3 linked regions of the Macaca fascicularis genome follow. The protein of the gene in region 3 interacts with the protein of the main gene of each other region in a pairwise test. Links are inferred from orthologs where the notes say so. Each region holds a gene or a part of one and is shown on either strand. Other genes may lie near its edges.

The links.
Region 1: the proteins of PITX1 (region 3) and MGAT5B interact in a two-hybrid assay, tested with the Homo sapiens proteins (2 studies listed by BioGRID). The link is inferred for Macaca fascicularis from reciprocal best matches to the Homo sapiens genes PITX1 and MGAT5B.
Region 2: the proteins of PITX1 (region 3) and SPAG8 interact in binary tests that used the Homo sapiens proteins (3 or more experiments, as listed by UniProt). The link is inferred for Macaca fascicularis from reciprocal best matches to the Homo sapiens genes PITX1 and SPAG8.

The regions. Positions count from the first base shown.
Region 1 is NC_088390.1:83,377,100-83,380,742, reverse strand, and holds part of MGAT5B (alpha-1,6-mannosylglycoprotein 6-beta-N-acetylglucosaminyltransferase B), read right to left. Parts: intron 2,286-3,643; coding exon 2,029-2,285; intron 1,483-2,028; coding exon 1,284-1,482; 3' UTR 1-1,283. UniProt on the Homo sapiens protein: Glycosyltransferase that acts on alpha-linked mannose of N-glycans and O-mannosyl glycans.
Region 2 is NC_088389.1:63,589,946-63,593,688, forward strand, and holds SPAG8 (sperm-associated antigen 8), read left to right. Parts: upstream 1-959; 5' UTR 960-970; coding exon 971-1,008; intron 1,009-1,110; coding exon 1,111-1,942; intron 1,943-2,066; coding exon 2,067-2,241; intron 2,242-2,443; coding exon 2,444-2,489; intron 2,490-2,572; coding exon 2,573-2,687; intron 2,688-2,815; coding exon 2,816-2,878; coding exon of another isoform or gene 2,879-2,896; intron 2,897-2,992; coding exon 2,993-3,175; 3' UTR 3,176-3,304; downstream 3,305-3,743. Other genes in the region: adenosine 5'-monophosphoramidase HINT2, read left to right, coding at 1-52; NPR2 (atrial natriuretic peptide receptor 2), read right to left, coding at 3,675-3,740. UniProt on the Homo sapiens protein: Microtubule inner protein (MIP) part of the dynein-decorated doublet microtubules (DMTs) in cilia axoneme, which is required for motile cilia beating.
Region 3 is NC_088380.1:141,576,062-141,579,804, forward strand, and holds the start of PITX1 (pituitary homeobox 1), read right to left. Parts: upstream 2,705-3,743; 5' UTR 2,523-2,704; exon of another isoform or gene 2,518-2,522; intron 1,958-2,517; 5' UTR 1-1,957. UniProt on the Homo sapiens protein: Sequence-specific transcription factor that binds gene promoters and activates their transcription. May play a role in the development of anterior structures, and in particular, the brain and facies and in specifying the identity or structure of hindlimb.

The sequences.
Region 1 (3,643 bases), on a different chromosome or scaffold from region 3:
GCAGGCCTAGGTTGGTGGGTGGGAGCAGGATTATCAAACTGGGTGGGTGGCAGTGTTCTGAAGGCCTGACCCGCTGAGGCAGGCGGGGCTCTGGGCATGGGGGGAGGAACAGGGGGCATCCCGGGGCAGGCATGCCACTCGGAGAAGGACGGCTAGATCTGGAGGCCGTTTGAGGCCGGAGGAAGCTGGAGGTAGGGATGAGGACTCAGCACTGATGGGCTGGGAGGTTATCTGGGGTAAGCACACAGGGCAACTGGAAACTGGGCAGGGCGTACCATGGGGCTAAGGCTCCATCCCAAGCCCTCGTCTGCAAAAGATGCTGGGGAGTTGGGGAGTCAGCACCTGTGGAAGTGCCTGGTGCATGAAGGCCACCCCCGGGCGGGGGTCCCAGAGCCCATTCTCTGAGGCTGGGGTGGAAACCTGCCCCTTGGAGGGGGTAGGGATTGAGGCTTTGGAACAAATCCACCGTCTGGAGTCAGTCACAGGTCATGCCGGGATGGGTTTTGGGAGAAGCCCAGAGTGAAAAGGGTTGGAACAAGCAGGAGAGAGAAACAATTCAACTAGGGTTTGGGTGGTTCCTGCACCCCCAACTGTGGTCCTCAAGTGTAGAAGGAGGGTGGGGGAATCGGGAAATCGGGAGGGAAGGGGCTAAGGGGAGGCACAAACAGGACTCCTCAGCTTAGCCTTCTCCCAGCCCCCTGCCCCTCTGTCCACATCCCAAACACCAGTGGGCCCTGTGTGCCTGGCTTCCCTCTTAGGAGGAGGGCGAGCCCCCAGTTTCCCTGCCTGGAGCAGGTACCACCCAGGCCTGCTCTCCAGGGCCATGGGGAGGGCCCCTCCTTGGACCCTTCAGGGACCACAGGGCAGTCTGGTCTCTGCTCCTCTCCCTTGCAAGTCTAGAGGCCCCATCCTGGGCCCAAGAATGACTGGGCCCCTTTCACCATCTGGCCCAGATCTGGCCTTGCACAAAGCCAGGGGCCTCCGACCACCTGCTCCTGGGCCATGAGGACTCTGAGTAGTCCGACATCTTCTTGGCCATGATGCTGCCGTGAGTCCCCAGGAGAGAACCAGGAGCCTGCCTGGGAGGTCCCAGGGGCTCAGCGTGCTGCCTCCTCCTATTCCTACGCACGGCTCTCCTCTGCCAGCTTCCTGGCTAAGGAAGGAAGCTCCGGCCTGGAGGGGTTGCAAGAAGGACAAGCAGCCGGAGCTCAGAACCTGCTGGTGCTTTCTCCTGTGGCAGGAGAGAGCCAGCATGGGTGCCAGGCAGGGCGGCAGAGGTGGACTCACAGACAGCCCTGGCACAAGGCCACCTGGCCTTTGCGGAAGTCGCGGCACGGGCAGAGCCGGCGGTACTTGGTGTTGGAGCCGGCACAGCTGAAGAGCAGAGGGTCCTTCTGCAGGTAGCACTCCTGGCCGGGCTGGGCGAAGGCCGGGTACAGGTGGTTCATCTCCGATTCGGTGCTGTCACAGGGCACCTGCAGCCTGGCAGGCACCGCACAGCACCGTCACTCAGCGTTGGTCACTTGGGCAGAAGGGCTGGGGCAGGGTAGGGGCTGCCCCGAGCCTAGACCCGCCTGCCCCACTTCTCTGGCCCATCCCCATCCCAGACTGGGTAAGGAGATGTGTTACGGCTCCTTTATCCCACGTGCTACCCAGGGACCCCTGGAGAAGAGAGGGGCCTGGCCTGGAGGGGCTGGGGACCCAGGCAGCCCCAGTAGGAGGAGCACCCGGGACAGTTTTCATGGTCTGGGATAGGACAATGCCCAAATAGGATGTGTAGGCGGCTGAGTGGGTGGAAGACGGCAGGCACTGGAAGGAGCTTTCCCTGGTAGTTTAGGGCTTGGCCAAGAGTAGGGCAGCAGTGACCTGGATAATGGCCTGGAGGATCCCTTCTGGATCCTTCCTGACTCATTGGAAAGCATTAAATCCCCCCGACTGGCAGGGCTGAGGGCCGGTTCTAGGTGTGAGAGCTCTCAGTGAGCCCGGCTGGGCCAGTGAGGATAGGGGCTGGGTGGGGGGCACACTCACTTGAGGAAGGCGTCCTGGCTGTTGAGGAAGGGGAAGAAGGAGGGCTCACAGATCAACCCGTGGTCCAGGCAGGTGTCGGTGCAGGCCCTCCCAGGTGTGGCCAGCCAGGCCCGCAGGGAGTGTGCAGGGGGCCAGGCCGCAGGGGCCAAGCTGGCGTTCTGAGCCCACTCGAGGTGGGTGGCATTGGGGGCCAGGACAAAGGGGCTCTGCGGGGTGTGGGCCCCTGGCAGGGCAGGGCCTGGAGCTACACAGAAGTCCTACAAGAAGGAGAGCAGTGTTAGGGCGGGGAAATGTGACCCAGGTGTGCCTGGGAGACACCTGAAGGTGTGGCCCTGCCGTGCCAGTATGAGCCACCACTATTGGGCGCTTACTGAATACCGGGTAGCTTTACCTGCATTATTTCATTTACTTCTCACGGACACTCATGTCTCCAGATCGCTTACAGGAATTATAGAGGTTCAGAGGTCACAGCACCTGCCCAGGGCCTTGGGGTTGGATGGCAGAACAGCACTTGGATTCAGGGCCCTGTGCATCCTGTCTGCCCTGGAGCAGCCTCGACGCTCAGGTCAGGCTGGGGTTTCTACTCTGGGGCCCACGAGCCCTGCCCTCCATGGGGACACGGCCCCAGGCTGGCCGTGAGGCTCTCCCTGCAGGGTTCAACTCCAGGGGTCGGAGGGCCCCACGAATGCCTTCCTGTGAGTTTCCTGTCTGGGTTCAGTCCTGGGTTCTGGCCACGGCCCTGACCCTCACCCTGTCACCTGAACACGCCCTCCCTTCTGGGGGCCTCGGTATTCCCATCTGTAAAGGGACAGGGGAGAACCAGACTCTCCCGGCCCCTAACACTGGTGGGGCCAACAAGATGGAAAGGGAGGCCACGCGCTATCCGTGGAAATTTCTCACAGCCATACAGCCACCTGCCCCAGGGCCCCCGAGCCCAAGGCCCACCCCAGGCATCACCCTGGAGACCTGGAACCTGCAGAGCCGCGCTCCATCTGGGCCACCGGCAGCCCTCACGGTGGCTTAGACCCACCAGGATGCAGTGGGGGGCCAGGACTCCCCAGGAATAGGGCACATCCTCCTTCTCACCCACTACTTCCAGGCACTCTGAGCACCCATGGGAGGAGAAAGGAGTGTACTCCTGGGACAGCTGCCTGCCCGGGTGCTCCCTTGGGGGGCTGGGGTAGCCGAGCTTTCGAAACCGTGGGGCTGTCCTTGGTTTCTCAGGGCAGAGATCCCAATCTCCTGTTCCAGTCTCACTGCCATCCTTAGCGGGTGGGTGGGGAGTCCGGGGATCTTCACTTCCCAGTTACCAAATCCCAATCGGTTACCAGACTTTCCAACCACTGTTTTCTAAGAATGAAAGTCTTTGTGTTTCTGTTAGTGCCATGGAGCTCAGCTCTAAAGTTGGGCCCCGGGCAGGGGTGCCCCGAGCAGTGCTGCTTTCTACACCCGCAGTCAGGCCTGCCTGTCTCCAGCCCTGAGGGAACTCTGGGAAAACAGACTGGACAGGCTGGAGGAGGGAGCAGGGAGCTGGATGACTTCACGGGTGCAGGTCCCTGGGCAGACAATGAAGCTGGCTCAGCCCCCTCCTCTGGTCTGACGGGATCTGGGGCAG
Region 2 (3,743 bases), on a different chromosome or scaffold from region 3:
TCTGCACATTCATGTACTTGGGGGCCGGCAGCTCCAGTGGCCTCCAGGTTGAACCTGCCAATTGACCAAAGGACACCAGACTCTGGATGCTTGGATGGAAAGGGAAAAATTGACCTTGTGATACTAATAAAACTGTTATCCTTTAATTATGCTCTCTTTAATATAAAATTTTATACCACAAAGGGGAAAGAAAACTGATTCAGGGCTATGATGCCCCTTGACTGGTCTGAGTGAAAGACACTGAGGAGGGTCCAACCTGTGGTTAAAGGTTGCCTGCAGATATGTAAGTCTTCTTGACAAGTGGTCCACCCTAGGTCAAGCTTCTAGAAAAGTTAACAGTAGGAATGAGCCTAAATGAGTAGGAAGAAACTGAAAGCCAGAAGAAACTGAAAGCCCATCCTGGCCCTTCTTCATAGGTCAAACCAGGTTCTAAGGGGGCTTAGGAGGAGGGCTGTCAATATGAGGATCTTTTATTAGAGGAGGAGTAATCACCCAAACAAAAAGCGGCTGCCTTTTCACTATTCCATGTCTCACCATTTTGCTCAAGCTAGTTTATTTTCAACCTTAACATTTGTTAAAGACCCTACTCACTTTTGAGAATGAACTAAGCAAACTAAAGGAAAGCTACTGATGCGTCTCTGCAAACACCAAGTAGGCTGTTACCTAATGCCACAGTCCTGTGCCTGTTTACAACATATCCCCATAAAGCATCACCTTAGAAAACCGCAAAGACTGTTCTGTTCGGGCGTGGAGGGGGAGGTCTTAAGCCAGCGGAACCCTAAAACCCAGTCTGAGGCGGATTGCCGCCGGGACCGGAAAGCGATCCTCCCTGACAGCACTAGGCTGAAGACTTCCGCCCCGCAGAGGACTTGCCTCCACCCCCACCTGCAAGTCCGCCTAGCTCTACTTCTGCGCAGGCTCCAGGAGTTGTTTGCTGTCTCTATGGCAACCCGGTAGCTGGAGTCTGAAGATGGAGACCAACGAGTCTACGGAGGGATCGCGGTCGCGGTGAGAGCCGCAGCTCTGGCTGCAGGCAGAAGGGGACGAGCAAGGTCAGCGGACTTCCTCTGCTGCGCTTTTGACAGCCTTGTCGTGTTTGCTTTCTTTCAGATCTTTAGACATACAGCCCAGCTCCGAAGGACTGGGGCCCACTTCGGAACCGTTTCCTTCTTCAGATGACAGTCCTAGGTCGGCCCTGGCAGCTGCAACCGCAGCAGCTGCAGCGGCTGCATCAGCTGCTGCAGCTACCGCAGCCTTCACCACCACCAAAGCAGCTGCATTATCTACAAAGACCCCAGCGCCCTGCTCTGAGTTCATGGAGCCATCCTCTGACCCCAGCCTTCTTGGGGAGCCCTGTGCGGGACCCAGCTTTACCCACAATATAGCCCATGGGAGTCTTGGCTTTGAGCCCGGCTATGTTTCCTGTATTGCTCAGGACCCTTGCACTACAACCGACCATAGTTCTAACTCTGACCTTGTTCCAGGCTCTAGCTCTGGGCCTGTTCTTGGCTCCAGCTCAGATGCTGGTCATGGCTCTGGCTCTGGCTCTGGTCCTGGTCATGGCTCTGTCCCTGGCTCTGGCTCTGGCTCTGGTCCTGGCTGTGGCTCTGTCCCTGTCTCTGGCTCTGGTCCTGGTCATGGCTCTGGCTCTCATCCTGGTCCTGCCTCTGGGCCTGGTCCAGGCACTGGCCCTGACTCTGAGCTCAGCCCCTCTATTCCTCCAGGGTTCAGAAACCTGGGGGCAGATCGAGTCCCTAACTATACCTCCGGGAGTCAGCACTGCCCCTGGGAGCCCCAGAAACAACCACCTTGGGAATTTTTGCAAGTTTTAGAACCGGGTACCCGAGGACTATGGAAACCCCCAGACATTAAAGGGAAGCCTACGATTCACTATGAAACATTGCCACGGGGCCAGTGCCTCCTCTACAACTGGGAGGAAGAGGTATTAAAGTTTTGGCCTGCTCCCTTTTCTTGAAGGCTGCCCTCAGTTTCTTAGGGGAGGCAGTAGTTCACATAAGGATGGGTACCAGAAGGGATATTATAGTCATTCAACTTGGGATCCACAGAGAGCCACCAACCACCTGGATCAAGTCCCAAGCATGCAGGATGGCTCTGAGAGTTTTTTCTTCCGACACGGACACCGGGGACTGCTGACTATGCAACTAAAGTCACCCATGCCCCGCAGCACCATCCAGAAAGACTCCTACCAGCCACCAGGAAATGTCTATTGGCCACTTCGAGGTGTGAAATGTGAGAGAGTGTAGGCCAGAACGAGTCCAATAGTCAGAGGGAAAAAGAGGAAGGAATTTCTGGTGGGGCTGTGGATTGTCCAATGGATATAAGGGCAGAACCCCCAAGGTCTTTCTTCCTTTTCTCAAGTTAGTTTCTTCTGGGCCTCCTTCTTAACCAGACCCCACCCTGCCCACCCCCCACCCTCTCACAGGGAAGCGTGAAGCCATGCTGGAGATGCTTCTGCAGCATCAGATCCGGTAAGGGATTGGGTAAAAGGGAAGAGGGAGGGGGAGGAGAAAAATTGGGTGAGAATGGCCTTGACACCTCTCGGGCTACATAGTAAAGAGGTACAGGCAGAACAGGAACCCACAAGGAAGCTCTTTGAGGTCGAGTCTGTGACACACCATGACTACCGAATGGAGCTGGTGCAATCAGGGACTCCTGCCCCAGCAAAGGTGAGAACCCACTCCCCACCCCCTGCCACTTGCACAGCTGGGCTCTGACAGGCTGTGGTCAAGTACCGGGCCCAGAGGTTGAGAGAGAGGGCTGAAGGCCAGGAGTTACTCAGTACCCTCCCTCACAGCCTCACGACTACCGCCAGGAGCAGCCTGAGACCTTCTGGATACAGAGGGCACCACAGCTACCGGTGTGTGAGGGTGACTAGGTATTGGGGGCAGAGCGGGGCAGGAAAGGTAGGGCAGAGTTGTTTTGTTCTGGCTTGGGGAAAGCGAGATCCATCCTCATCCTGGCACTCCTCCAGGGTGTCAGTAACATCAGGACATTGGATACACCTTTCCGGAAGAACTGCAGCTTCTCAACACCAGTACCCTTGTCTCTGGGGCAACTTTTGCCCTATGAACCTGAGAATTACCCCCACCAACTGGGAGAAATCTCTTCCCTTCCCTGTCAGAGAGGAAGGCTGGGTGGTGGAGGGGGTGAATGACTTCTGTCAGGGGTGAGGAGGGAAGTGGGATATGGAATATGGAATCTATTTCTGTCTGCACTAGAGAGGTCAGGAGGAAGTTAATTCTCACTGTACTTGAAGAGGCTTTACATAAAGGGTTCTCTCTCATCCCAAGACTGCTAATTTAGTGATTCTGTGAGTCACTGCGTGCATACCCCACAACCTTTCCTTGGGATTGCCCCATCCCACACTATGACATCAGAACTTTTTTTATTATTGTTTTATATTTGACCAAAATATTCTGGTTTAGATACAGATATTTACAGAAAGTAGGGAGGAAGGGGACCAAGCCAGAGAGGGACAGGTATATGTACAGGGCTGAGCTGCAGAGGGCTACAACTTCCATATAAGGTAGGTTTTTTGTGGCTGTTTTCCATTACATATGAAAATGTCCATTTCTGGTGTGTGCAGACATGGTGGCCACTGCCCACCCAGGTACCAGCAGCAGGAGACTGTCTGACTTGGGAAGAATGGGGGTTTACAGGAGTCCAGGAGGTCCTTTCCGCTCTCCTAAGAGCCAGTATGTTCGCATCTTTCCTTTTCCCTG
Region 3 (3,743 bases):
TACTCTCTCTCACTGGTCATTGTCCCAGTCAAGATAGGGGCTTCTTGCACACTCAGGGACATGTCACACACACAGGACAGAAAACAGCACTCTTTCAGGAGTAAGCAGAGGCTCTGTGTTCCCCCAGCTGTGCTGGGTGACCTATGTTTGCCTCAAGGTAAAGACTTGATCTGCCTTGAGCCTCAGTTCCCACGTCCAACACCGGACTCTGCCTGCTGCTTCAGTGTCCAGCTCACTTGCTGATGGGACAGGAAGAGAGGAGGGAAGGGGGCTTGGTGGAGCTGGAACCATGTGCCCTGTTCCCCACCCCTCCCTGACCACACAAAGCCAGCAATGATTCTGTGATGTTCAAGAATTTTGGAGTTTAGGGTCCTGGCTGGGCTGAGCAGAAGAACCTGGGCTGTTGTGGGGTTGAAGTAGTCACCACGAGGACCCTTCCTGAAGCCTAGCTCACTAAAAACAGCCTGTGCCCAAGAATGGTTTAGTAATGTAATTTGGGCAGGGTGGTTGGAAGGCTTTTATGGGTGGGGGCCATCCTTCTACCCACCCATGGGGGCACCCTGCTCTAATCCTTGCTCCCAGAATCAAGGTATTTTAGGAAAAAGGAAGGAATGTGCCATGACCTGCCACCAGGGCTATCCATGACTCTCTGGGACATTCCAGCCCTAAGCCTCTTAGTCTGTGGAGAAGTTCAAACTTGAAAACCCAGTTTTGGGAGTGCAGGTTTGGACCACCTACCTCTTTCTGCCTGATCTAATACCCCCTCCCCAATAAAAGCTCCTGTTTCTTTGAATACAGCAACTACTGGGTAAGTGGGGAGGAGGGTGCTCAGGTAGGGGCTGGAAAGACCTCACTGGCTCCTTTAGGCTTCCTGGGACCCCAGTCTGAGGCTTCCTGCCAATTGGGGATCCCCAGCCTGTCCTGGGGACAGCCAGGATGTATTTGGGCAGGACTGCCGCCAGTGAAGCACAGATGGGAGTATGGAACTCAGGACTCTGTGCTGTGGGCCCCTCAGTCAGCGGCTGGTAGGACCCATGGCTCTCCCCAGCCCATCTCTCACCTAAGTCCATGGATGCTGTCTGGTTCCTGAGAATGGCTGAGCTGGGGGGAAGAAGACTAGGAAGGGCGTAGCAGCTGGTCGCACAACTGGGGAGCAGGGGCAACTTATGGATGCACCATAGCCTCCTCTTCCCAGCGGTTGCTTTCATGGGAGAAGAGCACCCTGAGCCTGTCTGGAGGCCTCTGCATCCTAGAGTCCAGACAGCCTGGTCTCCACGCCCCAGCCCACCTCTTTTCCTTTCCCTGGAAGAGAGGTGGGAGGCCCAAAGCAGCCCCAGGAAAGGGTACGGGGACAGCAGGTCTTCTGTGCTGCCCCTGCTGCCTGTAGCTTTTGCCCTGACTACCCTAGACCTGAACCCTAGACCTGAATCCTCCCCTAGTGGACAGCAACCTGGGATTTCCTCCCTCTGACCCTGGTGGCTTTCAGAGGTCACAGGGATATCAAGAGAATACACAAGCCTTAGTTTTTCAGAAAAGTGAACTAAATATTTGTAGATTCAGGGAATTCCTAAATCGGAAAAGTTTGGGACCCGGATTCCAGCCTGGGGTTCCCATTACTGCGATACCAGCTTTGGGGCCCTTTGCTGCGGGAGAATAGGCTCCAATTTACGAAGCTGGTCAATTTCAGAAATCCGAGACCCGGTTCTTGAGAAGCGGCTGCAGTGCTCTGGGACCCTGCGTCAACAACCAAACCCGGGAGAAGCCGCGGGAATGTCTTTATTGGACGTTACGAAGGAAATTTGGGGTTTCTCTCCTGGGAAGAAAAAGCCCGACCTGTGCCGGCGAGGGCAGGCCGCCATGGGCTGGGGGCACCTCCGAGCGCTGCGACGGGACGTCTGGGTCCGGGGCGAAGAGAGCCAGGGCGCGGACCGACGTCTCCTGCTTTTCTGCGGCATTGCTGCCCGAACGAACGAACGAACGAATGAAGCGGTTTCGTTTAGGAAAAATACCCTCTTGAAGCGAAGCCACGGCCGAAGTCCCGGGCCACGCAGAGGGGCCAGCACTTCCATGGGTGGTGGGGCACTCTATCGCTGGACGCAGCGGGGAGCAGCGGACGGCCCTCTCTCCTGCCCACTTCTCCTGGGGTTGGGGATGGGGGCCCTGCGTCCCGCAACGCCGCGAGGGGCTGCCACCGGCTTCCCAGGTTGTGCCCTTCGCGGGGCCGTGGCCCATGCCCCCGAGGCTGCTACCCTCTTGGGGTGTCCGGAGCTAAAGCAGAGGGTTGATCCCACCAGTTAGGTGGGGTAGCACCCGGTGACGGCGGCTATGATTGTGCCCTGGGTGCAGGAACGAGCTCCTCGCGCTGCCTCGAAGGCTCCTGACCTTCCGCGCCTTGCGCTGTCAGGCGCTGCCGGCTGGACCCACACACGCCAGAAGCAAACTGCTCAGGACTCGGCCGCCACCTCCCTGCGCCCCTCCAACGCGGAGACCCTGCGCCCCTAGCCCAGCGTCTCTTACCCCACCTGGGCAGCGCTGTGTCTGCGGCTCGTTGGCTCCGGGCTCGCCCGCCGCGGACTCTGGCTCAGGTTTCGGCTCCGGCTGTGGGACCCGGATCCAGCTCTGGCTCTGGCACTGCACGGTTCTTCGACCCCTGCTGGTTCGCTACATCCCAGCGCGCGAGGCCGGGGCGGCCTCGGCTCGGCCCGCTCCTCCAGCCGCCGCCGCCCGTCGCCCGCGGGGAAGGCGGGGACACCGGCCGGGAGGCGGGAAGCGGGGGAGGGGAAGCTAGGCGCTCGCCGGGACCTGAGGGGAGAGGGGCGGCGCGCAGTCCCGCCGGCTAGGGGTCCCGGCCTCCCTCGGGGCGCAGGCTGGGGTCCGCGTGGCTGGCGGCCGGGTGTCGAGGCCCGGGAGCTCGCCCTGGGACCTCCGTGGAGGCGCCCGCCCGCATGCGGACCAAGCCGCAGCGGGTCCCAGCCTGGCCCTGGCGCACTTTCTCTCCCTGGGCCCAGTTTCCCACCTGACTTGTGAGGGGCTGGCCCTACTTCCGTTTAGACAGGGGCTGGTGGTCGAATCGAGGGTTTTGAGATTGGACCTTTCTTCTTTCTGCTCAGCCTGTGGGAGGGAAGCTGGTCTTGCGTGTTGGCAGGGAGAGTCCGCTGCCCAGAGCGTGGCAGCCAGGGAGGTTTGAGGACAGACCCCAGGGTTTCTGTGTTTGGGAGTAGGGGGTGCTAGGGAGGGGCAACCGCCCGACCTGCCCTGTTTGGGGGATTGCCTCCTTCTCTCTCCTCAGGGGCTGGGCTGGTGAGGAAAGGGCAGACCAACCCCTTAGGACAGACACTTCTGGGGCCCCTTGGCCAACCCCTATGCCTGCACATCCCCCAGCGGCCATCCTGCTCCGGGCCTGCGAACGGTGACGCCTCCACCTCCGTGGCCCCGCAGGCCTGTTCCTGGCTGGCTGCCACTGGGAGATGGGCTGGACGCAAGGGAACTGGGAGCCTGCCCTTTGCTCACCCTCAGGCCACAGGGCTCCCCAGCGTTGCCCCGTGGCCAGATAACCCTGTGCGCGAAGCCTCATGGGGGAAACCAGTTGGCTGAACCTACTCCTGGTACCCCGAAGTGCCCAGCCTGAGCCTGCTTGCTGCTGGGATTCTGGGATGGGATCACAGGGCAGGTCGAGCTGTGGCCTGACCCTCTCAGGGACGGCCGCGGACGGCCACGGGCTCCAGAGCGACCGTTTCGGGCGC